Linked DNA regions of Bombyx mori. The protein of the gene in region 3 binds, or shares a complex with, the protein of the main gene of each other region. Links are inferred from orthologs where the notes say so. Each region holds a gene or a part of one and is shown on either strand. Other genes may lie near its edges. The genes, in order: dynein regulatory complex subunit 3, dynein regulatory complex subunit 4, dynein regulatory complex protein 1, dynein regulatory complex subunit 7 and dynein regulatory complex protein 8.

What was found.
Region 1: dynein regulatory complex protein 1 (region 3) and dynein regulatory complex subunit 3 share a complex: the UniProt entries of both Homo sapiens proteins name them as parts of the nexin-dynein regulatory complex. The link is inferred for Bombyx mori from reciprocal best matches to the Homo sapiens genes DRC1 and DRC3.
Region 2: dynein regulatory complex protein 1 (region 3) and dynein regulatory complex subunit 4 share a complex: the UniProt entries of both Homo sapiens proteins name them as parts of the nexin-dynein regulatory complex. The link is inferred for Bombyx mori from reciprocal best matches to the Homo sapiens genes DRC1 and DRC4.
Region 4: dynein regulatory complex protein 1 (region 3) and dynein regulatory complex subunit 7 share a complex: the UniProt entries of both Homo sapiens proteins name them as parts of the nexin-dynein regulatory complex. The link is inferred for Bombyx mori from reciprocal best matches to the Homo sapiens genes DRC1 and DRC7.
Region 5: dynein regulatory complex protein 1 (region 3) and dynein regulatory complex protein 8 share a complex: the UniProt entries of both Homo sapiens proteins name them as parts of the nexin-dynein regulatory complex. The link is inferred for Bombyx mori from reciprocal best matches to the Homo sapiens genes DRC1 and DRC8.

Annotation. Positions count from the first base shown.
Region 1 is NC_085117.1:10,145,036-10,150,485, forward strand, and holds the end of dynein regulatory complex subunit 3, read right to left. Parts: intron 5,398-5,450; coding exon 5,196-5,397; intron 4,829-5,195; coding exon 4,643-4,828; intron 3,985-4,642; coding exon 3,845-3,984; intron 1,976-3,844; coding exon 1,831-1,975; 3' UTR 1,732-1,830; downstream 1-1,731. Other genes in the region: enoyl-CoA delta isomerase 1, mitochondrial, read left to right, coding at 307-564. UniProt on the Homo sapiens protein: Component of the nexin-dynein regulatory complex (N-DRC) a key regulator of ciliary/flagellar motility which maintains the alignment and integrity of the distal axoneme and regulates microtubule sliding in motile axonemes.
Region 2 is NC_085113.1:2,413,149-2,418,659, reverse strand, and holds the end of dynein regulatory complex subunit 4, read left to right. Parts: intron 1-1,611; coding exon 1,612-1,842; intron 1,843-2,192; coding exon 2,193-2,335; intron 2,336-2,616; coding exon 2,617-2,701; 3' UTR 2,702-3,227; downstream 3,228-5,511. UniProt on the Homo sapiens protein: Component of the nexin-dynein regulatory complex (N-DRC), a key regulator of ciliary/flagellar motility which maintains the alignment and integrity of the distal axoneme and regulates microtubule sliding in motile axonemes.
Region 3 is NC_085109.1:8,024,074-8,031,132, forward strand, and holds the start of dynein regulatory complex protein 1, read left to right. Parts: upstream 1-3,067; 5' UTR 3,068-3,234; coding exon 3,235-3,377; intron 3,378-3,653; coding exon 3,654-3,841; intron 3,842-3,979; coding exon 3,980-4,215; intron 4,216-4,312; coding exon 4,313-4,519; intron 4,520-5,082; coding exon 5,083-5,250; intron 5,251-6,531; coding exon 6,532-6,910; intron 6,911-6,992; coding exon 6,993-7,059. UniProt on the Homo sapiens protein: Component of the nexin-dynein regulatory complex (N-DRC) a key regulator of ciliary/flagellar motility which maintains the alignment and integrity of the distal axoneme and regulates microtubule sliding in motile axonemes.
Region 4 is NC_085131.1:3,589,348-3,595,688, reverse strand, and holds part of dynein regulatory complex subunit 7, read left to right. Parts: intron 1-785; coding exon 786-971; intron 972-1,854; coding exon 1,855-2,065; intron 2,066-2,974; coding exon 2,975-3,122; intron 3,123-4,695; coding exon 4,696-4,805; intron 4,806-5,129; coding exon 5,130-5,277; intron 5,278-5,996; coding exon 5,997-6,270; intron 6,271-6,341. UniProt on the Homo sapiens protein: Component of the nexin-dynein regulatory complex (N-DRC) a key regulator of ciliary/flagellar motility which maintains the alignment and integrity of the distal axoneme and regulates microtubule sliding in motile axonemes.
Region 5 is NC_085130.1:5,993,311-6,000,449, reverse strand, and holds the start of dynein regulatory complex protein 8, read right to left. Parts: upstream 4,164-7,139; 5' UTR 4,031-4,163; coding exon 4,006-4,030; intron 3,757-4,005; coding exon 3,643-3,756; intron 3,138-3,642; coding exon 3,014-3,137; intron 2,563-3,013; coding exon 2,436-2,562; intron 1,619-2,435; exon of another isoform or gene 1,380-1,618; coding exon 1,296-1,379; intron 1-1,295. Other genes in the region: heterogeneous nuclear ribonucleoprotein U-like protein 1, read left to right, coding at 4,869-4,998. UniProt on the Homo sapiens protein: Component of the nexin-dynein regulatory complex (N-DRC), a key regulator of ciliary/flagellar motility which maintains the alignment and integrity of the distal axoneme and regulates microtubule sliding in motile axonemes.

The DNA.
Region 1 (5,450 bases), on a different chromosome or scaffold from region 3:
TCCGGCTATGGAATGAGCTCCCCTCCACGGTGTTTCCCGAGCGCTATGACATGTCCTTCTTCAAACGAGGCTTGTGAAGAGTATTAAGCAGTAGGCAGCGGCTTGGCTCTGCCTCTGGCATTGCTGAAGTCCATGGGCGACGGTAACCACTCACCATCAGGTGGGCCGTATGATCGTCTGCCTACAAGGGCAATAAAAAAAAAAAAAATTATTTAGTCTTATTGACAAACCATGTAAATTTATTTTAAAAGTATATTTACTTTAACAAAAACTGTGAATGTACCGCACATGATAAATTTTTTTAAGGTGGGACTCATCGACGTTTTAGCTACAGACAAGGCTGATGCGGTTGATAAATGCAAGAAGTTTATAAAGAAATTCGACAAAATCTCGCCTATAGCTCGTGCTTTAACCAAGCAAAAGATCAGGGCAGAACCTTTGACGTGGCTCATCAAGAATCGTAAACAGGACACTGATGAGTTTTTAACTTTTGTACAGAACCCGAAAGTACAACAATCGTTAGAACTTTACATTCAAGCTCTCAAACAGAAATCTGCTAAATAAATGCCTAATCACAATTATGTAAATAAAACATGTATGTTGTAATTATAAATTTTATAATTAAAATACTGTTCATTTACTTTTGAGTATTTTTGAACATTCTAACAAATTTTGTAAATAGTAGGAATTTTGTATTATATATTTTAGTCATTTATATAAATACAATTTTATACCACTAAAATATATTATCTATGATGTTGATTTAATAAGTACTTAGAATTAGTGTTGTAATAATTGTCATAGATATAAAAGTGAATATAAGACTACAATAATAGAGACACCAAGCATGAAATGTAGCATTGACTTTGTAAATGACCTCAAGTAACCATTGTATGACGTTGAAATGGAACGTTGATCCCACAACTCAGTAGACTTCAAATTGTGCCAAAACCGTGTACAATATGAAAATAATTAGAATATGTACTGTTTTGAATTTTTGATATGATTTACATTGTACTGTTCTTGTTTTACATGTAATATTTATGTTTTCAATAAAGATTGTTAAATCGTAAAAATATATATTTGTATTTCTATACCCTGTAAAATGGTTTATTTACATAGAAATAAATGTCTAAAATTTAAGTCATTGGATCACCCTTAATACTCACTACATCTTACTAGTGTAGTACCACTTCATTGGGTCAGACCATAGACTCTTCCTATTATTTTAACAATAAAAAGTTTTCTAGATTAGATTAGTTATATTTGTTTTGTACTGAAGAGTAGCACCGTTTTCTGAGCATTAATTATACCACCGCATTCTGATCATCAACTTAAACTTCCCAACTCTTATCACCAGGATAGGGCATATGGTGGGCCCGTAGTTTATTTCTGCCGCGAAGTAATTAGGAGTAGGTTTGAAGGGTGAGACCGTTATGAAATATAGTGGAAGACTTTGACCACACGTTTCGAGGTGAACACTCACGCTCTGTAGTCTGTGGGTTCTGGAAATCTAGACCAGTGCTTAGTGCGAGTTTTTTAACGTTCTCGATAGCGTAAAAGTTAACCCAATTTTGTATGCAGCTGGAACAGCGCCCCTAGCGGCAAACGATCCCATTCCATACAAATATACACTAACTTTTACGCTATCGAGAACGTTAAAAAACTCGCACTAAGCACACAGGTGGGGAGAGTGAGATCGTCACCAACACAACTATAAAAAAAAAACTATTAAAAAACAAAACAATGTTTTATTAATATTGAATAATTAATATGCTATTTGCCACACAAATATCTACAACAATACCACCAGGCCTCGTCCTTAGTTTTTTAAAAGTCATCACCAAGTAAGGCGACCGTCTCCGGGTCTACTATTTCAGTAAGTCCCATCTGCATATCAGTCCACTCCTCTCTTTGATTGTCTATGTAGTAATTTATCTCTAATATACGATCTCGATTACGCTTTACTTCGTTACTGAAACATAACCACGTAATTGTAAGTAATAGAACGCTATATATTCAAATTATTGTGCAAATAATAAGTATTTACCTATGAAGTTTCCGTTTTAGAATACTGGCCATTTGAAACGTACCTAATGTTGTATAAGTAAGCAATAAATTCCAGATCCAGAATAAATTTCATTTTGAAATTCAGTCCTTTGTTTATTGGATCGGTGAAAACATTATGTTTGTACATTTCTCATGAATATGGATACGATATTAACATGAGAAATTATGGTAAACGACTTTCGTCACGGTAACGATGCCGCACAAACAAATGGCTCACAACATTAATACGTGTCCGTAGTAAACACTACGAACTAACACACCACTCGTTGTTTTGAACGATTCAAGCATGGAAATTTTACTTTAAAAAATACACCCAGTGGTCACCCGAAAACTAAAGTCAACCATTGAAATACGTACTAAACAAATGCTCACGATATGCAATAACATCGTGTGATAAAATTCAAACCCGCTAAATTATAATTTGCGTAATTACTGGTGGTAGGACCACTTGTGAGTCCCTGCCTATTTCTGCCGTGAAGCAAGTAATGCGTTTTGGATTATTGAGTGGGGCAGCCGTTGTAACTATACTGAGATCTTAGAACTTATGTCTCAGGGTGGGTGGCGCATTTGCGTTGTGGATGTCTATGGGCTCCGGTAACCACTTAACACCAGGTGGGCTGTGAGCTCGTTCACCCATCTAAGCAATAATTTTTTTTATTAACGATCGCCAACGCAATAACGCCTGTACGCCAATGTATGCCTTGCGTTGCTTAAAAGACAACGAAACGAAGAGATTGCGAACCTCCTTCACGGCAACGCTCGCCCTCATGCGACACAACAGGACGGTCTCTTAACTATAACAGCTAGGGTTGGAAGTTTTGTGTCATCTACCGTACTTACCAGACCTTGCACCGACAGATTTCTACTTTTTCAAAGTTTGAATAACGACTTTGTACTAAAAATCGAATACCCGATATGCAGTACAAAATGCCTTTGATGAGTTTATTGGCCCCCTAACTTCTTTACACCAGATTTCTTCAAGAAGAGCATTGAAAGATAACCAAGGAACTCGTAGAGATGTACCGATTTGGGTATATATTTAGATTGATAGTTTGGGGTTAAACGACAAAGAGATTGATGGATCCGTCCACTGAGCGGGTGAAATTCCTCGGTAGACAACAATAAAACTTTCTGTATACATAACGGCAATTTCGTAGGTAAATACCTATTAATAAAACCGTGCAAAAATAAAAATACATTATTTCATTTGATTAATCAGAAGACACAAAAGCATTTAGCATAAATTACTGTCTATAAAAATGTAATACATAAAACTTAAAACTGTTTCGAAAAACGAATACTGTTATATATGAGTACCAAAGCCTTACGAATAGCAGTATGTCGAAACCTAAATCTCAATAATAGTGGTAAACCTCAGTACTGACTAAAGACGCCGGTGAAAGAAGTTGCAGTGGTCATTGACCTTGCTTATTAAGCGCGATGACTTGATTTAACTGTTTATTATTAGTGTAGTCTGCATAGATAAGATAAGAGTAGCTCTCTGTCGCGTAGCTAAATTAGTCCCTTAGGCTACGAGCGCTTATGTAGGGAAAAATACATATTGACAATGTTTTCTTTATTATATAGTACCTACTTAGGGACTTAAAATTAGAAATAGATAAACTTATTTATTCCTTAATCTGACAACGGAGCATGTATTTTATTTTATGAGCACCCAGACTATATTATTCCTTTTACACCTTATCAAAATGGTACATGTATTAATTATTTTTATTGTATTTTTATAGTGAAGGAAGGATCGTTCGATACTCACTCATTAGTGCCTTGTACAAGTTCATCTCGCCAGTTGTTGGCACGGGTCATGAGCAAATCCTCGCGTCCATCAATAAAACGCATGTGGTTATCCGAGGATTGAGCCACTAAATTCATCATTAAATCTCGATCCATCATCACCTGCAACACGACAAACTTATCAAGGAACAGAGAACTTAAATTTGAACAACACACCAACAATTGACAAGATTAAATTGCTTAAGGAAGAAGAATTAGTTTAAAAAAGTTGAGAAAATGTATCTTAAGTTTAAACAAGGATGAATTGGAAACTGTAACAAAAACGAAAACATAATTTGATTGAGTTCCTGATTCCTAATACACTATTGTTAATAATATCGATATTTGTAACGTTTTTTACTACTGGTAGGACGTCTTCTGAGTACTATTTCTGGCGTGAAGCAGTAATGCGTTTCGGTTCGAAGGGCGGGCCAGCCGTTGTACTGTAAAAACTGAGACCTTAGAACTCGTGTCTTAAGGTGGATAGCGGTATTTACGTTGTAGACGTTTATGGGCTCCGGTAACCACTTAACACCAGGTGGACCCTAAGCTCATCTACCCATTTAAGCAATTACAAAAAAAACCTATCACACAATTTATTGGCGGTCTTATCGTAACAGGGCGGCGCGTGCCAGCTAGATTTGCATTACATTGCGGGTCACTTTATGGCATAGTAGGTACATTTCACCTTCAGCATTGAAAACGTTTCACGATGTAGAACCTTGATTTAATTTAAAAAGTGCAACCAAGATCTCAACTGTGTGTAAAAATGTGAATCAACCTCAAATAACTCTGGGGGTACGTCTCCCAAGATGAGCTTATTCCCAAGGAGCTTTGACAGCGCCTCGAACTGTCTCATAGACCAGACGCCCTCTTGTTCGCGCCACGCTCCGAATGCGTTACGAGATACCTCCAACAGTTTCGTTACCATTTCCGTTATGTTAACAGAAAATTGTACGCGAGATTCCTGTGATTAGAAAATAAAGCTGTCTAAAAAAAACTTAGGCTTAGCAAATACTATACTGTATCTTTATTATGTACGTATATATCTTTCGTCTTTAGTCTGAAAAGTGTTTTGTCACATACATCGTGATAACTCACAATGTCTCCAGTCCTTAATACGAAGGCTAGAGAAAACTTAACCTGTTATACCCCAATAATATTTTCATCACAAAAATTGTACAGAAGAATAATAAATACCATTTAATATTAAATTCTAACAATGACATCTTAATTTTATGTTTTATGAATCAATTAATTTAAAAGAGGATGTTTTTATAAAAATTTACTAAGTATTAGGTTTTATTAGGTAGATACTAAATAAAATTAAATACCTCACACTGCTCGTAGAGCTGCATCTCTATGGTCATGAGACTCTTCCACAGGTGGTAGAGGACCTCATTGAAGGTCTCGCCGAGGTCAACTATCAACGGCTCAAGCTCCTCTATGGTAGCTTGCTTCGTCGTGAACCTGTTTATGAATTCTTGCATTTCATTTACAAGCGGCCTCTTTTTGTTTTCGTATTCAATAATGATCCTATTAAATAAATAATCTTCAATCGGCAAATAAAACAATCAAGTTTCAACTTT
Region 2 (5,511 bases), on a different chromosome or scaffold from region 3:
GCGTTTAGTGCGCTTCGGAATATTTGGGCGAACAGATCTCCGCTTTATAGTGCCGTGTTGTGCAATTATAACTTGTAAAACAAAAAATCAGACCTCAAGTATAGAGCGAGGAGGTATATCTTTCGATCGGTAAGTCGAAATTACCATTTAATTACAATATTATTTGTCTAAAACATAAAAATATACTGAGCATTATGAAATTCCAAACATTAACAATATTATTGCAGCAAGTTATAAATAGCATACATTGCGCGATGTGTACTCGCCCAATGAACGCAATGACCAAGTCAGCTTCCAATGTACTACATGCATTGCGTTCTCTACACTTCAATCTTTGAAATTTCGGCCTTTGCCCTGATTGGCCGTGGTGCACGGCGCTAGTTTGTCGATAGTGAGGTGACCATGTGGTGAAATAAAATCATCGACAGAATTCTCGACTATATTTACATTTGACATGGATATTTTTTGCATTATTTTATATTTAATTAATGATACCTAGTATATTCTTAGTGAGACGTATTTTGAGTAAAATAAATATGTATTATTATTATTGAATTATTATCATTGAATTAAAGTGAAGGTATAATATAAAGGGACATGTAGACCTCTCATTTACGGGTATTTACTATATTGTCTAAGACGTATTAAAATCTAAATAAAATGCCATTTGACTTATGCAGTAAATAAAAAATTTTAGGTTTCCTAAAGAACCTAACGCCAGGGAACAATGGATTGACGTGACAGGTAGAGGAAACTGGAGACAAAGACGAGTACTATTTGCTCTAAACATTTTACTGAAAATGATTTTACCATAAAAAAAATCATAATACACTTAGTTCTGAAAAATTCATTCGCAATTAATAGCAAGCGCCAACTGCTTAACAAATACGTTTTATTCCAGCGACAGTGACTATTTGTAATTAATAAAAGTAAAATAGTTTTTTTTTTTCAATATTTATTTCATGTTTCATTTTCTCCATTCATTCATCAGATAATTTATCGATAAAGAATATCGATTTTACCAAGCACTAGCGTGTATGAACATTTTTATTGCCTTTTTGCGTGTGTGAGTGTGTATGCCTACGGGTGTTTTGTGCTAATTGCGAACGAATATCTGTCCTGAGATTTATGTGTGGGTGTTTTTGTTGTGTGCGAAATACTTGTAATCACAGTGTGTGTATGTGTAGAAATTAAAATAGTGGGGATGAAGCGGCGACACTGGTTCTAATACAAAATTAGAGCAAAGGCCTTTCCAACCTTATTTATCTATTCCGTACCGGAGCCCATAGACATCTATAAAGTAAATACCGCCACCCACCTTCATAATAAGTTCTAAGGTCTCAGTATAGTTACAAAGGCTGCCCCACCCTTCAAACCGAAACGCATTACTACTTCACGGCAGAAATAGGCGGGGTGGTGGTACCTACCCGTGCGGACTCACAAGAGGTCCTACCACCAGTAATTACGCAACTTATAATTTTGCGGGTTTCATTTTTATTACACGATGTTATTCCTTCACCGTGGAAGTCAATCGTGAACATTTACAGTTAAGTACATAATATATAATGCCGTCATCCACCTTATTAAATCAATAACTATATTAAAATACAGGCAAAAACGAAACAGCTAGCAACCCTAGAGAAACAGTTCGAAGTCTTGAAATGGGAATACGAAGTGCTACAAATACGCTTCGACAGAGTGCTAGCTGAAAGAGACGAGCTGAAGGCTAGATTTTCGAGGGCCGTACTAGAAGTACAACAGAGGGCTTCGTTGAAAACGGCCCTACTGGAAACCAAGTTGAAAAATATGGAAGCAAGAGATTTAGGACCGAGAGAATTGCATGTGAGTTAATATTTTTATTACCGATAAATGAATCCGGCTGTTTCGCCCCTCTTCCTTTTTTTTTCCTACCTACGCTGATGGTCTTGAGAGACCATTTCAGCGTAGCCTTAACAAGTAAGTGAGCTAACGGTACTCAAACCTGACGACGTTGCTAGCACTATCCCTAGCAAGAGCCGTGCTACGCAGAATCTACCACCGGATCGGAAACACGACCTTAACACTTAAAACCAGGTGGGCTGTGAGCTCGTCCACTTATGTATGCGCTAAATAAAAAAAGACTTCCTCTTAACAGTAGTAACTTTTTCATGGGTTTTACATTGTACTCACTTAGTATTAATTAATTTAAAAAGGAACTGCTCAAACTCAAAGACACCCAAGTAGAAGATCTTCGGTATGAAGCCGCACGACTTCGGAAGGCGCATGATGATCTACTCGCGACTTACGAAGCGAAACTAGTGAAATTAGGAGTGCCTCCAGAAGAACTCGGTTTCAAGTGAGTAAATTTAAATTTAGCGCCATCTATGGTGTTTAATGAAAACTAATAAATAAAGTTTATCCAAGCGACATCTAGTTTGATAAAATGAAAATATTTAAAAATTGAAACGTTTGAAAGTGTATTATCGTGATAGTAACAGATGGCGCTGTTTGCAAAATTTATGAACTGGAAATTTAATGTTATGAGAAAAAGTTTATATAGTACAAAACGTATCCACGAGATGTCACTATTACAAAACCCAAGATGTTATTTATTATAGGTATTATATTTTTTTTCAGACCATTAAAAGCCGTTGCGGTGGCCGGAGTATCGCCTGTAATAGGTCAAGGACCAGCAGGATTAGTGACGAAAGATCAATGTTAGAAATAGAAATTAAAAAAATTGTATAATATAATTGCAAAAGTTGTGCCTATCTAAATTGTTCTGAAGAGAAATTGTAAATACCAAAAAATATTTTTGTAAATCCTTTTTTCCTTTTTCGTAATAAGCTGTCACCACCATCTAAGATCATTGATAATGACATTGGCAGAGCCGGGCGACTGCGTACCATTCAAGATCAAGCTATCTGATAGATCTCACAGCGATCAGCCATTGTGCTTAGTGCAAGTTTTTTAACGTTCTCGATAGCGTAAAAGTTAACTTTGTATGGAGTTGGAACGTTTGCCTACGTTTGCCGCTAGGGACGCTGTTCCAACTGCACACAGATTTGAGTTAACTTTTACGCTATCGGGAACGTTAAAAAACTCGCACTAAGCACACTGGTGTTAGAAGGCTACCGGAACCCATTACTATAACAATATGAATGAACGAACCTTAAAATATGAGGTCGATGTTTTCGCTGTAATTGCCGGTGCCAGAATAAATAAAACCAAAAAAATGAAGCCAATAAGTGTTTTATTTCCTACTAACGTTTTTTTTTTAGTATCATTTTAATTTAATTATGTACAAAACATTCATAAGGCAATAGTTTGAAATGAAAAGGCGTCAAACATTTTTTGAACCTTTCCGCTTGCATTTTAGCGATTTTTAATTGCATTTACAAACGTTTACTATATATTATATACTATTTATGGAATTAATATATATATTTATTTATCTTTTAATTAACAATTTTCTTTTCCATAACTTAATTTTTGCACGTTAAGAACAAATTGAAAATGTTATTTACAACGTAATATACATGGGTAAGTGAATTTATAAAAATCAACAAGGTATTTGTATTAGAATGTTTTTTTTTTAAATACTTTTGTAGCTTAGACAAATAATTCACGCATTAAAAGTAATAATTTTTTTGAAAATATTTAAAATTAACAGTAATACTTAATACTTACGAGAAATGCTATTTTCATAATCTCAAAGAAACTTTGTACAAAGTGTCGTAAATTATTAAAATAGTTGTTTTAGAAAATATTACTTGTGTTAGTTACAATAAAAACGAAAAAAATATTTAAGTTTTATATAAATACAATTAAACGCGATAAGCTTGAAATAATACATAGAACATTATCAATTAATAAGGAATTCGAAATAATGATTCAAGATTCACTCTTAACTAACTACACCAGTGATTCTCAACCTTTTTTTTGTTGTGCGGCACATATTTAACGATTTCAAAATTTGGCGGCACACAAAAAAAAAAGATAAAAATTATTTACTTACTACAACACACTGCATTAATAGTTTATAAAAAAAATTTTCATATACGAAATAAACTAAAATATACAATATTTTTTTTGTGTATTTAAATATTATAGTATATTCATGTTTAAAATATTTTTCTTTTAAAATGATATAATTTACAAACTTCAGAGGTGTCAAGGGACACCCGGATGGAACGAAGTTCCTTTCGATTAATTAGTGAAGGAATTGTAATTTTTTTTTAAAGTTATAATAATAAATTACGGCATTATGAAGAAGAAAAACACAATACTATAAAGCGCCTACACGTTGATTGGTCAGAATGACGGATCTAAAAAGTGTCGTGACAACTTTTCGTAAGAATTTTTTCCGTCTAGCCCCCTTTCACAACGCGCGATAAGGAACTTCGTTCCAATAATATTAACATTATTATATATTCGAAAAATTTGGCGGCACGCAAAAGTGCCGCGGAACAATGGTTGAGAATCACTGAACTATACACAACCAAACTTTCAGTTTTGAAAAATATAATACACATAAACTATAATTTGACATGGATTTCGTTTTATGATATTGATTAATTGCTTATACGTTCACGAAAATTGTTTACTCGCTAAAAATATACAAAGTATCCTTTGTATTCATTGCAAAGTGGCAAATTTCTGTTTTTTTTTTATTATCATAGATACCTAATATTTTTTAAAATAAAATTGAGGACGCTCTTAAGGTTCTTCGATTGCTAGTACAAGCTTAAAGTAGACTTAAGAAGCGTTTAGATTTGACTTAGTGATCGGAGATTTAAGAATTAATGGACATATAAAGGATTTTTCGCAAAAACGTCTTGGATGCAATTTTATTTTTGGGACATTTGTGGGGTGTCAATAGAAGCTTAACCTCAGGTTTGTGGGGTCGCCACCCGTGTCCCCCGGCCGCCATCTTGGAAAAAGGGGTGAAAGCACTCTTTTCGCGATACCTCGGAAACTATGCGTCTTACAAAAAAATTGTATAATCATAATTTGTAGCAAATTGTTTTGCCTACAAATATGTTTATATAACATTTTATCAACACACAAGAATGTTTTGTTATTTCAACACGTAACTTAGAAAACTGTTACGTGAAATAAACATTTCTTTAATTTTCAATCGTATTTAATTTTAACAGTTTTAATGCTTACTTTTCTCATATAAACAATACTAGAGACATCACATCACGCAGTTAAAAAAATCGTTTTGGACTCCCTACACCAGTTGCGGGGGCGTTAATGATGAGAATGTTTGTGGGGGGTGAGAAATAAGAATGTTAATTTTAAATGCCCAGCGAAGCGGACGGGTACAGCTAGTCTCATATAACCCGATTTCGCACAACACGGGCTTTTGTAGGAACATATATACCTACCGTGTTATAGGAGGGTTATCTGTACCTACATTCCAAGATGCGTGTATATTGTCTTTTGAATTATTTTTATAAGAAAGCCTTTTTTATTCTCCGCAGTTATTCGGTTGAGGCAGCCATTTTGCAATACTTTGATCTCATA
Region 3 (7,059 bases):
TTGCACCTATTCATTACAATATGCGTGATTTTGGTTACAGGTTTCAACGTAGCACACAGAAGGCGTAAGACAGGAAAAGTGGGATTTCCCCACCGCCTCACAAAGGAAGATGCTATGAAGTGGTTCCAACAGAAATATGATGGTATCATACTTAATAGCAAAGCAAAGTAAAATATAAGTAAATAAAAGTAATAAAACTCCTTTGCCTTTTTATTTCCCAAACATTCAATAATATGGAGGTAATAATTTGATAACAATAGCTTTTTTTTTGTCGACAGCCATACGACATTAGAGGCTCAACCAAGCCCTAAATTTAAATTGATATTTATATTGGTCATGTATTCGAAAATGTCCCAAATATGGCTATGCCCTCGTATAATAAATGCATGGACATCCCTAAATATCACATGTTCAAGAACAATCTTATAAAAAAACGAGAACTCAAAATGACTTCGATTTAAGATGTCTATAACTAGTAATGAGATGTACGATGATTTGATCTAAATGGCTGAATGATCAGTTTTTCTGTTTGTTGTTTACCTGTTGGTAGATGAAACTAAAATGAAATATATCAATTTGACAAAACGTCGAAGTCCTACTTCCCATTGACAATTTTACTAAGAGAACGATATACATGTTTGGTAAAACAAAACTTTATTAAACTTACCAAGCTGGATTATATCGGTTACTAGAACTTTTGAATCAATGATGGAAAGGAGAACGGGTGTTCAAAATTTTAAAATATTACATTGGTTAGGTTAGGTTACACAGGTTCCTTCGTTGCCGGCAGTATACGAAGGCTGCGCCTGGAGGTCCATGTGGCGTCACGTCCTGACCCGCGATAACGGCGTTGCAACGTCCGCAGCCTGAGATCACGTCCGGGGTGGTTCACGGGTACCGCACCGTCTCGTTAAAGGCGGCGTGCGTGCTCGCCGGAACGCCTCCCTGGGGCCTGGAGGCCGAGGCACTCGTTGCGGATTGTATGTAATTAGGTGACCTCCGCTCCATGGGGAACCGTCCCGGCAAGACGGAAATTGGAGCGGGGAGGCTTCAATCGAGGCGTAGTCTTGCCGCTTGCCGTCTCATCTGCCAGACGACGCAGGCACTAACGGGACACGCCTCCTTCGGCTATTCGATGAGTAGCCGGCGAAGGATACGCTCGCGTAGTGCCCTGCTTTCGCAGAGCAGTGTCGCGTATTCGTTGCGAAAATAGGACCGCACCTTTTTTTTTTTATTGCTTAGATCTTTGGACGAGCTCACGGCCCACCTGGTGTTAAGTGATTACTGGAGCCCATAGACATCTACAACGTAAATGCGCCGCACACCTTGAGATATAAGTTCTAAGGTCTCAGTATAGTTACAACCCCACCCTTCAAACCGAAACGCATTACTGCTTCACGACACAAATAGACGGGGCGGTGGTACCTACCCGTACGGATTCACAAGAGGTCCTACCACCAGTAATTACGCAAATTATAATTTTGCGGGTTTGATTTTTATTACACGATGTTATTCCTTCACCGTGGAAGTCAATCGTGAACATTTGTTAAGTACGTATTTCATTAGAAAAATTGGTACCCGCCTGCGGGATTCGAACACCGGTGCATCGCTAGATACGAATGCACCGGACGTCTTATCCTTTAGGCCACGACGACTCAATCTGTCTTCTTCTTTCAATTCTTAAGACTCAATCGTCTTATCCTTTAGGCACCTGTCGCTGTCGAGCATCGTGGTTACGACGGTCGGCAGCGACAGGTGCGGTCCTCGTTCCCGGCGTCGCTGTCGTCGACGCATGTGCTGTAGAAGAGCAACCCGGTCGTACGGGAAAAAAGGATAGTCTTTGTGGAAATGCATTTCAAACCTCAATCGTGTCTAGAAGAGCAAATGTATTCACGTTATATTTTTTGTGCGGTCCGGCATAGATATACCTACACTTAATAAAATATGGTCCGGTACGTAGAGCAGCGTCGTGCTGCGCTTTGTTGAGAATCAGTGTTGCGCCAGGTGATTCGTAAAAAAAAAACAATTTGTCGACTTCCCTTACCTACATTATTCTATCGACTAGAGGTTCTTCACCTTAGAGACCTGCTGCGAATATGGGTACGAACCGGCACGATATCTCCACGAACCTACATCCCTCACCTGAATTTTCATGGTCCGCAGAGAGTATCCGGACACCGCCGCAAATGCATAAGGTGTGTGAGCTGTACCTTATTTTTGTCTGCCTCATCTAATAATAAAAAATCAGCTCACAACTTCGTGTAGTTTAAATAAGTGACATTTAAAGTAGGTACCTACTAATGATCCATATTTAGGTAGATAGCCAAATACAACATACGAGATAAATAAATGGCCTTCCGATAGAATAAAGTTAAATTTTGCTATAGACATTCCTTTAAATATAGGCGGTCATTAACAGCAGACTCTAAAGTAAATCCTATTCAGTATAATTAAGTGATAATTGGCCTAAATCAAAACAAAAAGACGACGTTAGGAAATACAAATAAAACGCGGTGTAACGGCTGCAGGTAAAGGCTTGAGCATGCATTGTTATGTTCCATTATCGACGGTGATCACACACTATGCTATATCTATATCACACTATATCTTTATGATGAGCCAAATGTTCAATTGCCTAAAATGGCTTTAAAAATCTAATTACCTACTTACTTACCTAATTATTACTATCTATATCACACTATATCTTTATGATGAGCCAAATGTTCAATTGCCTAAAATGGCTTTAAAAATCTAATTACCTAGATAGTTTCTTACACACCTTAAATATTCAAAATTAGAATTTTTAAACAAACCTTACCGCATCTTTCTCGACTATAAGTAGGTACCTTGGCAAGCGATGTCACGGAAGCTATTAAGTAACTAGCTATCTCTCACACATTTTGAAATCTCACGCAATTAGTGACTATTGTTTGTGGGGTTAGTGGACGACGGACCACGCTTTAGGAAGTAAAGCTGTAATATACTTTAGTTTATAACCTAGCTTCTATAGGCTAGACATAACGGATGATAGATTGTACAGTTCTACTTTTGAAATTACAACGAGACAAGCGACTCATTGATTTGATCACATCAGTCTTTTTATAGTATTTGATATCAATTTTCTGCCACTTTCTTTATCTATGACGTTCTCGTTGGTTACCATGACAACTGTAAATAACCATCTTTTACAGAAATAATTTAGGAAATGTCAGGCAGATTATTAGAATAATAACTATGGCTGGAACTTTCGAAAGATATAATGACGAAGAAGACGATGTCCTCGCTCCTACAGAACCTCAAATTACGTCACATGACCCAGTCGAGAGAAAAGCAGCTAGGTCTCTTCGTATCAAAAGGAGACAAGAAGCGTTAAAAAGGTTTTCTAATATCAATTCCTATCTCAATAAAATATTGCTATACTTCTGAGATCAAATACTGATTTAGATCACCAAAATATTAGAATTACCTAAATTTATTATTCACAAAAATATAAGAACACGAAATTAGTATTAGGTATTCCAATTATTGACTTCAGCGGTTTGATACATTGAAAATTATATCAAATGGCAGAATTATGAAATTTTAATACATAAACAATAACTTTTAAATGTCTTTATTCCACACTGCTTTTCCTTTTGATTATCATTAAATAGATCAGAACAACAAACTGAAGAAATCGTAGCAGATGAAGATGCTGGTCCAATAGAACTAGCTACAGCTACCGCTGCAGAGGAGTTGCAGAGGTTGAATCTTGATGGAGCTGCTAAAGTTACCAATGTCAAAGTCACCACCGACGAACGAGAGGTCTTAAGAAGAGGATTATTCGCAGATAATATGAGAGGTATTTTGTGGAATGTGTTCATTTGTAAGGGGTAGAATTTCCTCTAGTTCATGTACTGTTACTACATCTACTGTTAACAGAATTACAGAACTATTATATTGTTTGTGCAACTTATATAAACGTTTTTTTTAAAATAAGATTTGATGAAGAAGATAGAAGACGAAGCAACAGAGGCGCAGATCCAGTATGAAGCTATTACGTCAAATTGGAATACCATGCTCAATATCAAAGATCCATTAGATATAGACGCAGAAATGAAAAAGCAGAGACAAAAATGCGATTTCTTAATGGAACAAAAAAATGAAGTGATAACTGAATTAAAGAATAACCTACAACAAATGGATGATGCTTATTATGAAGACTTAGATAAACAAGTGTGTAATAATAACTGGCGATTGACTAAACCACATAACAATATAATAAGTTAGACAATCAAAGTTAAACATAATTTTAATAGCCATATCATTTTAGGATAAAGATATCAAAGAATTGTCTGATAGAATCGAAAAACAAGTAACTATAATGCAAAGAGCTTATGAAAAACAACTATCCTTGATAGAACAAGCGATAAAAATCGAGCGGGAAGTTATGGTTGATCACAACAATAAGCGTTGGGAAGCTCTCTACAAGCAACGTGACAAAGAAGAATTAGCTCATATGGAATATAGATCAAAGCAGGTAGTACCCTACATTAATGAATAGTCTCGATTTGAGCCTCGAGTGATGATTATTTGAGTCGTCTATTATCAAAGGTGGCAATCTGTGCATTTGGACAAAAAATGTTATTGATATGTCAATACAGATTGATTTGAATATAATCGTCTCCTTCAAAGAATACGGTTCAAAACCAGCATTAAATAAAGGTTAATACTTAACCTCTTATTTATCTTAGATGTCGTTCAGAAGAGTTTTGTGACTGCCAATGGAATACAAAGTCAATAATTCGTTTTTCTGATTTACCAATAATTGTCCAAAAGTCACATTGCCGGCTTTGATAATAGTCGACTCATTTGACCTATGATGATTGTGATGATTATTTATTTACCTATAATATAATTATTTGCAATTTTACTTGAGGAAATTTGAGCCCAAGTCAACGCTATTCATTGTCATCAAGGCCTTCCTACCTCTTACAATGAAGTATTGCTGTAATTTGATTTAATTTCTATACGGTTGAAACTATTATGTAATACATAGCTTCGTTGCACTTATATTGCTATAAAGTTGCAACTATTTCACAGTTAGAAGAACACAAGCAAGAAATAGAAGTAATTATGTGGGATCATCATGAAAAGTTTCGTGAAGCTAAAATTGAACTCGAATCTCTAATTCAAGAACTGCAAAGGGAATTAGAAAAATTGAAAGCCACTTGCATTATAAATACGGAAAAGATTGGTTACAACTATCAGGTTAAAATCAATATTCCATTTTACATACTTCTGACATCACACAATTCTCTTCTCAAAAATTTTCTTTTTATTTATTGCTTAGATGTGTGGACGAGCTCTCAGCCCACCTGGTGTTAAATGGTTACTGACATACTGCCCTAGACATCTACAACGTAAATGTGCCACCCACCTTGAGATATAAGTTCTAAGGTCTCAGTATAGTTACAACGGCTGCCCCGTCCTTCAAACCGAAACGCATTACTGCTTCATGGCAGAAATAGGCGGGATAGTAATATCTGCCCGTGCGGACTCACAAGAGGTCGTACCACCAGTAATTGTGCCAAATATAAATTTGCGGGTTTGATTTTTATTACACGATGTTATTCCTTCACCGTGGAAGTCAATCGTGAATATTAACAAATAAATAATGAAATATATTGTACTTACCTAACAACAACAAGGTAAGTACAATATATTTCATTAGAAAAATTGGTATTCGCCTGCGGGATTCGAACACCGTTGCATCGCTAGATACGATTTTTTTTTTTATTTTTATTAAAAAACAATCACACCCCGTTAACTGGTCCCGTGATAAGTTCGTAAAGAACTTGTGTTACAGGTACCAGATAACGGATATAAATGTAAGATTTTTATTATACACATAGATATATTTAATATACATCCATAACCCTGGAAAAGATATTTATATTTATCATACAAATACCTTTTCTTGGCGGGATTCGAACCCGCGACCCCCTTGTGTAGTGACCATGTCACTTACCACTACACCAGACGGCCGTTTGCACCGGACGTCTTATCCTTTAGGCCACAGCGACTTCAAAACACACGACGACACAATGTTGCTGTAGAGAAATTTTATAAATATGTATTACGAAATATCTGAGAATTGTTTGTCTTTCAAGTGTTTCTCGGATTCAGCGGTTCACATTTTTTTATTTTTTTTTATTGCTCTTTTAGGCAGACGAGCATACGGCCCACCTGATGTTGAGTGGTTACCGTCGCCCATGGACTGCAGCAATGCCAGGGGCAGAGCCAAGCCGCGGCCTACCTTGCTTACACAACAATGAATATTATGTTTTTATGTTTTCTTGTCTTTTCGTATGTAATTTTTAAATTGGATATTTTGAACGGATCTCAAAAAAATTCCATAAGAGAGCACGTTCGATTTTAGAATTCGTACGTTTAGTATAAAAAATGTATTCCAGTTATATCTATCAGGCTGAGTAAATAAATGACTAACGATGAAAATGATGTACTTTCACCATTAGTGGTATGTTGTAGATCCTAAAGAAACGCGAAGAAGAAAATGTTTTTGTCCGGTCACAACAAAAAAGAAAACTTAACAAAATGTCTGACGTTGCTAATGCACTACGTGCGAAAATTCGCAAGGCTGCTGAAGAAGGCGCCATAGAAGAAATTAAAGCAGACGCTGAAATTGTAAAGTTGATGCAGACAATGGACGATTTGGAGAAAAAGTCTGATCAATTCAAGCACGTTAACGATTATAAGTTTTGCCAAATATGGCGTATGGCAACGCATCGTTGCTCAGAATTAAGTAAAGAGCTAAGGCAAGGTGAAGTGGCTTTACATGCTCAGGTTCTAGCCGGACCACCTCCGCCTCCTCCACCGCCATTACCCAAAAGTCCATTAAGCAAATACGGTAAACTGGAGACTGGAAATATCTTCATTAAAAATATATATTTCATAATTCTTATGGGCTTTGAACGTGGTTTTGTTTGCAGAGCAACGAGAATTAGCTAATAAAGATAAATCGAATGAATTAACTGAATCAAAATTAGACGAGACGAA
Region 4 (6,341 bases), on a different chromosome or scaffold from region 3:
AGACCAAAATTAGCCAAATCGAGTTCTCGAGTTTTAGCGAGACTAACGAACAGTAATTCATTTTTATATATATAGATGTATATGTATATAAATGTAGATTGGAGTATTTACTTAATCAAGTGTTCAGCCAAGCGGTCGAAATTCGTCCAGTAGCATCCACACCGCAATACTTAGAATCAATTTGTGTATTACTTTTTTTTGTTATTGTCATATAGTTCGACGTCGCTCTTGGCTCATAGCACCAGCGCATTAAGGGATGGGACAGTTACGAATGAGATTTAGACCTCATGGTCATCAAGCTGGATAGAAGCGTACAAGTTGTAGCGTTTGTCGGTGTAATTTGTTGGCGTTGGATGCTAAAGTTGTCGTAGCCTAAAGGATAAGACGCCCGGTGCATTCGTATCTAGCGATGCACCGGTGTTCGAATCCCGCAGGCGGGTACCAATTTTTCTAATAAAATACGTACTTAACAAATGTTCCACGATTGACTTCCACGTTGAAGGAATAGCATCGTATAATCAAAAAATCAAACCCGAAAAATTATAATTTGCCTATTTAGCGGTGGTAGGACCTGAGAGTCCGCATGGGTAGGTACCACCGCCCTGCCTATTTCTGCCGTGAAGCAGTAACGCGTTTCGGTTTGAAGGGTGGGGCAGCCGTTGTAACTTGCATTTACGTTGTAGATATCTATGGGCTCCAGTAACCAATTAACAACCAGGGGGAGCCTGTGGTCGTCCATCCATCAAAGCAATAAAATAATAATAATAATAATCGTTGGTTTTCAGGATTTGGAAAAAGCCCCGGCTGACGCTATTAACGGGTGGAGAACTCACGCCTGGGTCCTCGTGCTGCCGGGATACATGGGAATCGACGAACCTTTCTTCATAGAGCCGAGCGAAGGCGAAGGTCATCTCCTCGACTCAGAAAAATACCAATTCATAGACAGCGTGTACAATCACGAAAACTACTATGTGAGTTTCAACTGCAAATTTTATTGAAAACCGGCGAATTCCTGTGTCGAATTTCAACAAATTGATAGTATTTTTTAATCGGTCGATTAAAAAAGCTTTTAGGTTTAAATTAATCACGAGTACTATGTATAAATTATACGTAATGGAACATTAATTATAATAATTTTAATTATTGAGTTATTGTGTATTATATTTCTAGAACTAGGCAGTTTTAATTTTTATTAAGCCCTGGACACGCTTTTCTCTGACTCTTCTTCTTTATCTCCGCCTTATTGGGGTCGGCACAGAGAATTTTTCTATTCCATTCTCTTCTATCCACATCATTTCGGATCCTCCCGATCCACTAACGGTGCTTTTAGATACCCCAAGCATCGGTCACCGTCCTCGTCGAACCCGTCGCTTGCGACGAAGGGCTCGGCTAGTAAATTAACCCACAGACACAGCCCACTGAGTTTCTCGCCGGATCTTCTCAGTGGGTCGCGTTTCCGATCCGGTGGTAGATTCTGCGAAGCACGACTCTTGCTAGGGCTCGTGTTAGCAATATCGTCAGGTTTGAGCCCCGTGAGCTCACCTACTAGTTAAGGTTACGCTCATATGGTCTCTGTAGACCATCAGCTTAGGTATGAAAAAAAAGGCGTCATCTCAACACTCACTCCTCTCTCTCTCATCGTCATTCACACACTTCATCCCTGTCTTCTTCGTCAACCTCTTCCCCCTCTACCTTGCACTACCATTTCCATACATCTCCTAGTCACATGCATCACCTTTCTCTGACTATCGCTAAATAAATAAAATTATCAGTGAATTTGTTGGTACCACCTGTGTGGTGTTAAGAAATAAATAAAAGAGTACAACTACATACCTACCTACAACTTTTTTTAAGGCAAACGTCCAAAGCACAGACATTGGGTTGGACAGCCTGAATTATGATCTGAGCGACCTCTCAGCGTGGGAGCATCTTCTGGCCGGCGAGCCCCACCATCGGAGGCAGATGGTCGGCATTGACATCGCCGACAAGAAGACAGCTGTGCAAACAGAGAAGCATCTGGATATGCCAGTCAGCTGGGTTGAGAAACTGGAGATTAGTACTGATGGTAAAATTACGTTCGCAATTCTGAGTCGATTATTGTCTATTGTAAATCTGAAGCGAACGGGATATCCGTTACTTGGAATTTAGGGTGGTTGGCGACGTTAACTTGTAAGAGTCTTAGGCCCGGTTTGTGCTCTACGTAGCGCACTGAAGTAATTATGAGTCGACTATTATCAAAGCCAGCAATGTGACTTTTGGAAAATTATTGGTAAATCAGAAAAACGAATTATTGACTTTGTATTCCATTGGCAGTCACAAAACTCTTCTGAACGACATCTTAGATAAATAACAGCTTAAGTATTAACCTTTATTTAATGCAGTTTTTGAACCGTATTCTTTGAAGGAGACGATTATATTCAAATGAATCTGTATTGACATATCAATAAAAAAAATTTGTCCAAATGCACAGATTGCCACCTTTGATAATAGACGACTCTTATATCGATTTACTGTTGCTAACGCGACAGAATATCTAGTCGATACTGGGAAAGACGAACCCGAAGGTAATGAGAATGAATCTATGCGTAAGATACCTAAAAAACTAAAACATCGTGTATTTAAGTAGTAGGACCTCTTGTGAGTCCGCGCGGGTAGGTATTACCACCCCGACTATTTCTGCCGTGAAGCAGTAACGCGTATCGGTTTGAAGGGTGGGGCAGCCGTTGTAACTGTACTTGAGACCTTAGAACTCATATCTCAAAGTGCGTGGCGCATTAACGTTGTATATGTCCATGGGCTCCAGTAACCACTTAGCACCAGGTGGGCTCTGAGCTCGTCCACCCGTCTAAGACATAAAAAAAAGGACAATCCAAGCGCCTTAGTAACAGAAATCGACATAATTACTACTACGCCGCGTAGAGCACCGGTGACCTGCACGCTTCTCAAAGGATTAACAAAGCAATACCCTTATCAGAGTACGGTCAAAGATATCCGGGCAGCCACAAAGTGATACACTACAAGAAAGTTTTACTGGATAAGTTCTCGCCCTACTCCGAGAGGGATGGTGTAGTGAAGAGGATCAGAACGTTTGAGGACTACGCTTTGACCGTCCCGCTGATCACGTGAGTGCGTCTTCGACTTTACACAGTCCAGAAACGAGGCCTAATACGCCTCGTCACCACCGCTAAGAGAACCCTAGACTTCTCTGACGTGCGAAGGCTGTAGCTATGGAGAGGTAGAAGTAATGAGCACGCATCTTGTATAGGGAACCAGTTGAACATCTATCTATATCTAATATATAAAATTCTCGTGTCACAATGTTCGTTCCCATACTCCTCCAAAACCGCTTGACCGATTCTCGTGAAATTTTTTATGAATATTCAGTAAGCCTGAGAATCGGCTACTATCTATTTTTCATACCCCTAAGTGATTAGGGTTGTCCACCCCTAACATATTTTTTTTATTTGGACTTTTTTTTTTTATTGAGGTATTATGTGGTTGAATGAGGTTTTGTTATTTTTATTATATATTCCCTCATCGTTCACAACACTACATACCTCTTTCACTCATTTACCACATCCTTACACACTTACAATAAATTATTTTTTTTTTTTTCTACACTAGAAATTCCCTAGAAATCTTATATATTATGGCAAAACAATGTTTGCCGGGTCAGCTAGTATTATATAAAAATGAATTGCTGTTCGTTAGTCTCGCTAAAACTCGAGAACGGCCGGACCGATTTCCCTAATTTTGGTCTTGAAATATTTGTGGAAGTCCAGAGAAGGTTTAAAAGGTTGATAATTATGAAAATGCTCGGAATTATATAAAAACAAACAATTTTGTTTTTCCTTTGATATGTCCTCCGTCGAACGGATTCCTTTTGTTTGTTTTAAGTTTATTTTATACAAAAGTTTAAGTCTTTTATTTATCGATTGAGGCACTACGAAGTCTGCCGGGTCAGCTAGTCGTGTAATAAAAATCAAACTCGCAAAATTATTTGTGAGTCCGCACGGGTAGGTACCACCACCCTGGCTATTCCTGCCGTGAAGCAATAATGCGTTCCGGTTTGAAGGGTGGAGCAGCCGTTGTAAATATACGGAGACCTTAGAACTTATATCTCAAGGTGGGTGGCGGCATTTACGCTGTAGATGTCTGTAACACCTGGTGGGCTGTGAGAGTTCGTCCACCCATATAAGCAATAAAAAAAAAGTGTCCACCTGTAATCAGAAGGTTATTGTTTGAAGAATCACCGAAATAGCACCAGCGTAAGAAATGGAAATGATATGAATTTATTTAGTTTTAAACAGAGTGAACTGGGCTGGATTGAAATGAAGTGTGATAGCTTATGGCGGTGTTTTTAAAATCCTTCCACTAGCTACTGTGGCGCCCCCTTAATTGGCTCTCTTTCAGCGGACACTTTTTAATACACCAAAATGATGCTCCTTACTTCTACGCTCCATAGCTGTAAGATCAATTTGATTTAGGAAAGAGATAAACATACATCTAAGTTGTCCTATTAAAATACAATGAACGTGTTACTTACAAATATTCTACAGAGATAACGTTCTATGAAGCCGAAATTAGCCGATCGTTGCTTTCCAAATGTCGATGGGCAGCATTTATCGGCGGGCACTGTAGTTGTTTAAAATTCCAATTAAATTAAATTAATGCAGATAACGGAATGTTTTCTAGGTACGAGTGGTACAAGCATCGCGTCGACAAAATGGAAACCGTTCGAATAGATCACACGAAGCGTGAGATACGCGAGACGTTCGGTATCGGAAGGAGGGATCATTTACTCAGTAATTATTGTGTTTTTGGTTTCTTCAATACGCTTTTATTAGCTTGCTGTATTGATGGAGGAAAGCGGAATTGTCGTAACTCGAAAAAAAACAACTTTATACCAGAGCCATACGCCGGGTGGACGAGCTCACAGCCCACCTAGTGTTAAGTGGTTACAACGTAAATGCGCCACCCACCTTGGCTTGCTATCAAACGTAGGCAAACGTTCCAACTCCATACAAATTTGAGTTAACTTTTACGCTATCGAGAACGTTAAAAAACTCACCCTAAGCTCGTCTACCTACTAATCGTAAAGTTTTACTATGGAAAAAAATGTTCCACAGAGCACGTGTACTCCATGGACGCGCTGGTCGGCTCTGTGGAGGCAGTCAGGACCATGGAGTTCAATTACTACGCCCGACTTGACCACCTCACGAGGCTGGTCTGCACTACCCTTACATTCGATGAATATTATTCGAACAGAAGCGACAGGTACACTCTTAATGCTGTCCCAAATTTACGTTAGAATGCTTTTGGAGCTTGTCAGCACGATTTGAAGTCCAAGGGATATTTTGACCTCGTATTTTGAAGTAGGAAAAGTGATTGAAGTTTTGGTCTCATCGACTCCCGCAGCCACTAGATCAGACCGGCCGTTGTCTTTTCCTATCATCATTTACCTAATTATAGTATTTTTATCAGCGTTTAATTCAGCGTCAAAATTGATTTTTCAATAAGAACATTACATGAAGTCGTCGTGGCTTAACGAATAAGACCTCGGTGCATTCGTGTTGAGCGATGCACTGGTGTTCGAATCTCAGACGGGTACTAATTTTTCTAATGAAACTCAATGTACTCAACAAATGTTCACGATTGACTTCCACGATGAAGGAATAACATCGTGTAATAAAAATCAAACCCGCAAAATTATAATTTGCGTAGTTACTGGTGGTAGGACCTCTTGTGAGGCCGCGCGGGTGGGTATCACCACCCTGCCTATTTCTGCCGTGAAGCAGTAATGCGTTTCGGTTTAGAGGGTGGGGTAGCCGTGTGCATACTTGAGACCTTAGAACTTATATCCCAAGGTGGGTGGCGCATTTATGTTGTGGATGTCTATGAGCTCCGGTAATCCACTTAAATAATAAAAAATTAGACAAGTTTTAAAAGCGGTCCTTAAATCACTTTCGAATCCTTCATTCTCGGATTGTTCTCAGATTAGAATCAAGATTAGTAATATATACAGAAGGAACGAAAGAAACTAAACGTCAAATAAAGGACGTAACTGAGACGTACAGCAGAAACCATGAGATCCCATCAAAGCAAGACGTCTGGAAGAAGATCTTCCACCTCCAGGACAATACTATAGAACTGCTGTACCAATACGCGTACAATTACGTAACTAACAACACAAGGAGCTATATAAAACCTAACTTGGCTGAGACCGGCGGGAAAATCTTGTTCTATCCCGACAAAACCTCCGGGTATATCGTGAGTTGCGTTAAACAAACTTTTACGAAGAAAGAGAGAGAAAGGAAGAGAGAGAGGGGGGGAGGGGGAGG
Region 5 (7,139 bases), on a different chromosome or scaffold from region 3:
TAAGATAGAATCTGTTTACAAAAACTAAACAAACCTTATTTTATTCATGCACATTACATTGGCAAACTTAGTGCCCAAAACATTTTCTACTAATCGACCAAGGATGATATAGAAAACCTACTACACCTACTACAGGTGCATTAATTAAAACGAAAACAGATGCTTTTCTATTATACTATACAATATACCAGGGATGGCTAACCGGTAGCGGTAGGCGGCGGGTTGACTCTGCCCCTGACATTTCTGAAGTCCATGGGCAACGACAACCACTCACCATCAGGTGGGCCGTATGCTCGTCTCCCTACAAGGGTAATAAAAAAAAGATCGCAATCGACCGGTCGATCTTGGCTATTAATTCAGTCGATCGTCATTATCATCTTCTTCATCATTCTTTCCTATTACCCTCTGCTGGGGTGTAGGGCTCGAATCAAATTTTTCCATTTACATCGATCGTGGCAAGACAAAAAAATATAAATACATAGAACAGACTGCGCAACGTAATCACCAATTGCTGCACGCATCATCTTCATCTTGTATCATTAAATGATAATTGTATCATTGAAAGATACATTTTTTGTAAATGACAATTACCTCACATTATTTATTCTCTCTTCCACGCAATAGTTCTCTTTTATTGTATAATTTCAACTTTATGTTAATCTTTTCAATAAAAGAAAATATACTACTTATTTGTATACTGAACTGCATTGTTTCATAAATTTCAAGAAATGTCATTGGTAGATCGTAGTGCTTATGTAGTGCTTCGACAGTAAACAGTTGATCTTGATTCTAATCAAGTTGGCCACCCCAGCAATATACTAACTGTGCATATTATACCAGCAGATAATATAAAATAAATCCATATCTATACTAATATTATAAAGCTGAAGAGTTTGTTTGTTTGAACGCGCTAATCTCAAGAACTACTGGTCCGATTTAAAAAATTATTTCAGTGTTAGATAACCCATTTGAATCCTACAGGAAGGCTATAGGCTATATAACATCACGGTAAGACCAATACAAGTGGAGCACCAATAAAGAATGTTTCAAAATAGGGGTTTAAATAGCTCCATAACATTCTATAATTCAAAAATATTTTCACTTTCTACGTAAATGAAGTGGGGGTAAAATTTAGCGTTATGCCAAAGTAACTATTCCACGTGGACGGAGTCGCAGGTAAAAGCTAGTTATATATAAAATCAACAAATTAAAATAGATACATAGAATATTATAAATCTTAAACTTTATAAGATAAACTAAAATATAAACAAAACAACAAAATAGAATGCGCTCACCATAAGTTGGTTGATGTAATATTCGTACATTATTGTATCTGTTACAGGATCTAACGCTGTTTGCATCATTTCATCGTACTCCTCCTGTATCATGAAAAAAATGAGAGCCATAAGAATACTCGTTGAAATTTAACCGAGTCAATTCATATCCATATACAACAGTATAGTATTTGTTAGCATAACATATAACACGGTATTATTTTATAATAACTAATGTTATGGATTATTGTTGTATAGTGTTAGGATTATTAATTATAAAAAATAATGTTATATTATAATACGATTCGGTATAAATAAAAATTCTATCGAAGTACGAATTGAAACTGTGTTATCTCTTAGAACACTTAAAACACTTCACAAACACGAGAGACTATTTCAGTTTCGCCCTAACATGAAGGTTCACGGGGCCCAAGCCTGAGTGTTGCTAACACTGGCCCTAGCAAGAGCAGCGCTTCGCAGAATCTACCACCGGATCGGGAACGCGACCCACTGAGAAGATTCGGCGAGAAACTTAGTTCGGCGAGGACTGTGACCGGTGCTTGTGGTACCTAAAAGCACCGTTAATGGATCGGGAGGATCCGTAATGACGTGTTTTGGGTGACGTCGACAGCATCTCTGCAACGCTTATAAAGTCGATACGACATCCCTAGAATCGTCGAGAACATTCCTCACAAGTCGAGCACTTTCAATGCGTGCTTCCGCTACCTGACAATAGATGGCGTTGTACTTTTCGAGCGTTCTAGATGTTGCTATCATTTGGTATTCGTTTCGGCTGTTCAGCGATAGATGGCGTTACTCTTACCGGCGTAACAATATATTATACGACATAAAGTGAAGGCAGCCGGAAAACGAATTGTTTTATTTAAAACTAGCTGACCCGGCAGACTTCGTAGTACCCCAATCGATAAATAAAAGACCGACAGGGGACACATCAAAGGAAAAACAAAATTGTTATTTTTATTAAATTCCGTGCATTTTCATATCTATCTATCTTTTAAATCTTCGCTCGACTTCCACAAATAATTCAAGACCAAAATTAGCCAAATCGGTTCAGCCGTTCTCGAGTTTTAGCGAGACTGATTAACAACAATTCATTTTTATATATATAGATATAGATAATAATAAGAAATTTTAAGGTACCTGCGTAAATGACTCTCCTTCTTCCATCATAAGCTTGGCGAACCTCTCTTTAGTGAGGTACCCACGTCCCTCCGTGTCAAAATATCTGAATGCAGCCAACAGCATTTCAGCGCTCGCCGGATAAAACCTGTCCCATTAATAAATAAAATACCTGACATAATGAACATTTTATGGAAAATTAAATTAAAAAATTCACGTACGAAAGGTAGAAAGCTAACATCAAAATCTACTTATCTCGGTGATCAATGGCGTAATTGGCTTTGTCAAAAATTCCAACGTTTCCATAAGCTACAATTTAATGGCATAAGCACCACATGATGCTTAGGCTAAAGTATAAGTGTAGGTAATTTATTTCGTAGTAAACGCAATACAGTGAAATCCAATTGTTCTTTGTCAATTTTTGATATTAGCATAGTCGGCCGCGTTTTAATTAGAAACAAAAACCTTAGCCACAGCAACGTGTGGCCGGGTCTGCCAGTATTATATTAAAAAGAAGATATGAAAAATAACAACGAAGATTGAGCCACACTGTCAAAATTTTAAAATTGTTTAACCTTTTTAATTTTAATATTACAAACCTATGTTCTATCATGACTTTACACATGTAAGGTAAAAAGTTCGTTAACGGAACGTTTCCAGTTGCTTCTTTGTTTTCCGTTGCTAAAATCACCTCTTGTATCTCGGCTTCAGTTGGACAGCAACCTTTAAAAAACATATATTTAACGTCTCTTTTGCTATATTCAAAATTTACCATGTAAACAGTCTATTTAGTACTCAAACAGTTATCCGCTTAGAAGTTTCCAAAACAAAAAACGGCCTAAGGGTCCGTTCACACAGACCGGCTCGGAGAGGAGAGCACCTTCATTCCGACTATTCCTCCTAAATAATTTGTAGCGACTCGAAGACGTGAATAATCACTGTCATACTAAAATTGAGATATCTATTATCCTAAAAGGGTGAAAAATTGGAGCACGGAAAGCAAAATGATGACTTTTTTCATGCGTAATTACGTTGTAAACACGGCTATTGTATTCTTACGATATTTAGTATGATTTCGCGATACTTCGGCACTGTTCCAAGCGCCATCGGCTACTCGTGGTGACTCGTGTCTTTTAATTTACCGTGAGAGTCAGAATTTTTTAAATACTCTTTATTACACTAGTAAAGTATTAAAACATTTAACGAAAACCAGAAAAAAAAGCATTACCCAAAGATCGAAGAATTGTTCCTATTTCCCTTACATCTACGACTTGCTTCCCAGAATGGTCAAATACTTCGAAAGCTTCAATTATTTTTTTCTCCAAATCATTGTTTGGTTGAACTAGAAAGATACATTTAAGGTATATGAGATATACCAATATATGACATATATCAGATATTATACCAGACGTAATATCTATTTACCAATAAAAATGTTTGGTTTTGTTTAAATTTCAACTAATAAATGTATTTATGTATGTATTCATTTATAATAAAATTTAATGAGTGATACTAAATTACACAGTATTTACATCGCTCGTTTATAAATTATTAAATGTATATAAAGTAAATCTTTCAAATAATAACTAACTTTTAGGTTCCTCTTTTCTTGCCATAATGAACTAATAGTTTAATTATAAGATTTGTAACACTAATAAGTACACGTATTAAATTGAAAAAAATATTCCGTAACCAGGCAACACAACCTATCAGTTATCACTAGTGTCATCGACGAAGCTTTAGTTCTATTTTGCACCAGAGCTGCTGTAAGTTAGTATGTATATATGTGACGGATGCTTTGAACATGATTTTGACCCCCTTCAAAACGTAGACTGAAATCAAAATTTGACATAGGTACTTATCAAGGACCGTTGACAATGCAATATTTTAAACAGTTAGACCTATTATCCATAAATTAGTTTTTTTTAGGATTAGCTCCCAGTTTTAACAGCTCCTCCACAATATTGACAAAGCTTAATTCAACCAATGTACAAATTAATAGCTTATTGTTGACATGTTGATGTTTAATTGTCGTACCACATTCAAAAAATATTAGTTAAAAAAAAATATATACTTTAAAAAACACAAAAATATGCTTTTATAGAAAATCAAATAGAAAATAAATTCATTGTAAAAACAATCCAATCTATACTGATTAAACAGCAGGCTTCCAGACTTTTGAGTAGTATGGATAAGAAACCCTTGGCCTTTTGAATTTTACAACAAATAGCTTATTCCAAAAAATTCTGGAATCGCCAATCCCCACCATAGATAATATACCGCCATTTCCTTCCGTTATGCTGATGCGCCGCTAAATCGCCATTTTGGATTTAGTTGGCGCTTTTTCTGTCGTGAATTTTCGTTCAGATAGTAATAGAATTAATATTATTTAAGCACATGTGTTTTAAAAACTTTAAAGTGTTGTGAAGTGGATACTATCAGACGATTAATACAATGGATCCTGCTAAAATGAAGGTGGTGGACTTGAGGTCCGAGTTGGGTGCTCTCGGGTTAGATACGAAGGGAAACAAGCCGGCTTTGGTAGAAAGATTGAAAAAAGCACTCGAAGCGAAAACTGGAACAGGTTAGGATTTCAGATGTAATTATTTAATGCGTAATGTACAGTTTTTTAGTAATGTTGCTGAAATTGTTGTTAGGGACTTTTTTAATTACTGCACGTGTACATTTGTCGATCAATCATGGATCATTGTTGCACTGTTGTTTCCACTTTAAGAGATTTAGTGTGATTCTTAGTAACTTTAACTTCCGTAGTAACCATACATCAGTTTGCTGTCCCATTTAGAGATTTGCAAACACACCTATTTTAATATCTGACGCCAAAATCAAGGTTACGACTTTATTCACACTCAAGCATGAGATAAAATCGCATAAAAATCTAATAATTTATTAAATATTAATGTACAGCATCATTAAGTTTTCGAAGTATTTTATATGTTTTTACTGATACAACGACGCATATCAGTTATTGCAGTTATTCCAACTGAACAGTTCAAATCGTAATCGGTTTGAAAACTTCGACATCGATATCAATTTATGTATACACTGTTTTATGGGAAATTCATTCATATGATTATTCTTAGGCTTAATAATAGGTAAGAAGAGCTCGATTCTGCAAAGTAAAATAAAACGAAATTCAATCAAATCAGTTAAAAGCTTTTTTTGCACAAAATGTATACGTCTTTTTGCTTCTAATGTCCAGATATAGTATTTTTAGGTATAGAAGTAACTTTAAGGATACAACCTTGATTAATTAATGTTTTCCTCTAAGGTCTTCAACGAAATTATTAACTACTGTTATTTTATTTAAATTTGCTATCAGATAATATGTTGATTAGTATGAAATATTAAGACTAATATTTTCCAGAATTGTTGAAAAAAGCATGGGTAGCAAATTAATTTATTCATCACAGTCTTATAGATAACAAAGATAATATACAGAGATGGTTTTTAAAATAATAATTAAGTACCTAATCTACTAAATAAAAATAAATACCATACTTTGTTTATGATCTGTGTTTTAAAAGCAATGTTTATCATTAAATTGATGAAGATTACAATGGTCATATTACTGTCAACCTTATCTAAAATAGGTTGCATGCAATATGTTACAAACACAGAAAACTTATTATTAAATAATAAAATTAAGTAAGTTTGTTTCAACTTTATTTTGTCTGTGGTGGATGCTTAGTATTGCAACAGATATTATAGAGTTCAATAAAAAATTATGGAGAGAAAAAAACAAAAAAGTCTGAAATCACACTGTGGATGCAGAGAGAATTGAATGCATAAGTGGTATATGATATTTCAGGGAAATGAGCAGGACCCTAGTGCGACTTGTACCGGTGCTTTGCAAAACAAGTCTTTGTTCAGGTGCGAAATAATGCTTCATTCTGTTGAGGATTCCCAAATTTTACAAAGCAAAAAATGTCATGTAGTATTTCAATTACAATTAATATTTATTATCAGACTATAATAGAGTAGGTAATACCTAGAACATTGTTAATGAATGCAATGTTCGATTATTGTGAACATTTTAAAATTGTTAGTTAATATATAAAACATTTTCAACAACAACATAAAAACATTATTGAAGAAGTAATTTTTTATTTTAATTCCTTTAAAACACTAACAGAGTTAATATAAGAAAATCAACCATTAGAACTGGCCAGAGTGCTTAGTGTAAGTTTTTGAACTTCTCAATCATGTAAAAGTCAACTCAATTTTGTATGGGGTTGAAACAGCGCCCCTTTGTTTCTCGCTAAACGCATCAATTATGCGACTGAACAATTACAGCCCTTATGGAAAGTAGTTTTGTAGAACATACAATACTGTATTTAGGATAGTATATAGTATATATAGGGTTAAAATAATTTATTAAACTATTAATTTAATATCATAAAAAGAATGTATGTACTAAAAAAATTCATCTAAATTATGAAATTAGAGATTAAGAGAAAACAAGCAATGTAGTGATTAATTCACATGCAAAACTACTTCAAATGAAAACAACAGTGTTTTAAATCATTTTGTTCAAAGTAATCACTATGGTTGTCTTTACCATTTTTGTAAATAGTAATGAATGCATAAATAAATAAAATAAAAGGTTGAGTGCTGTTTGTGTAAACAGTAAAAAAATGTTATTTATTAAATTTCAACAAGCATATAATAATTTATGTACATCCATAATAAATAATTATACAGAAT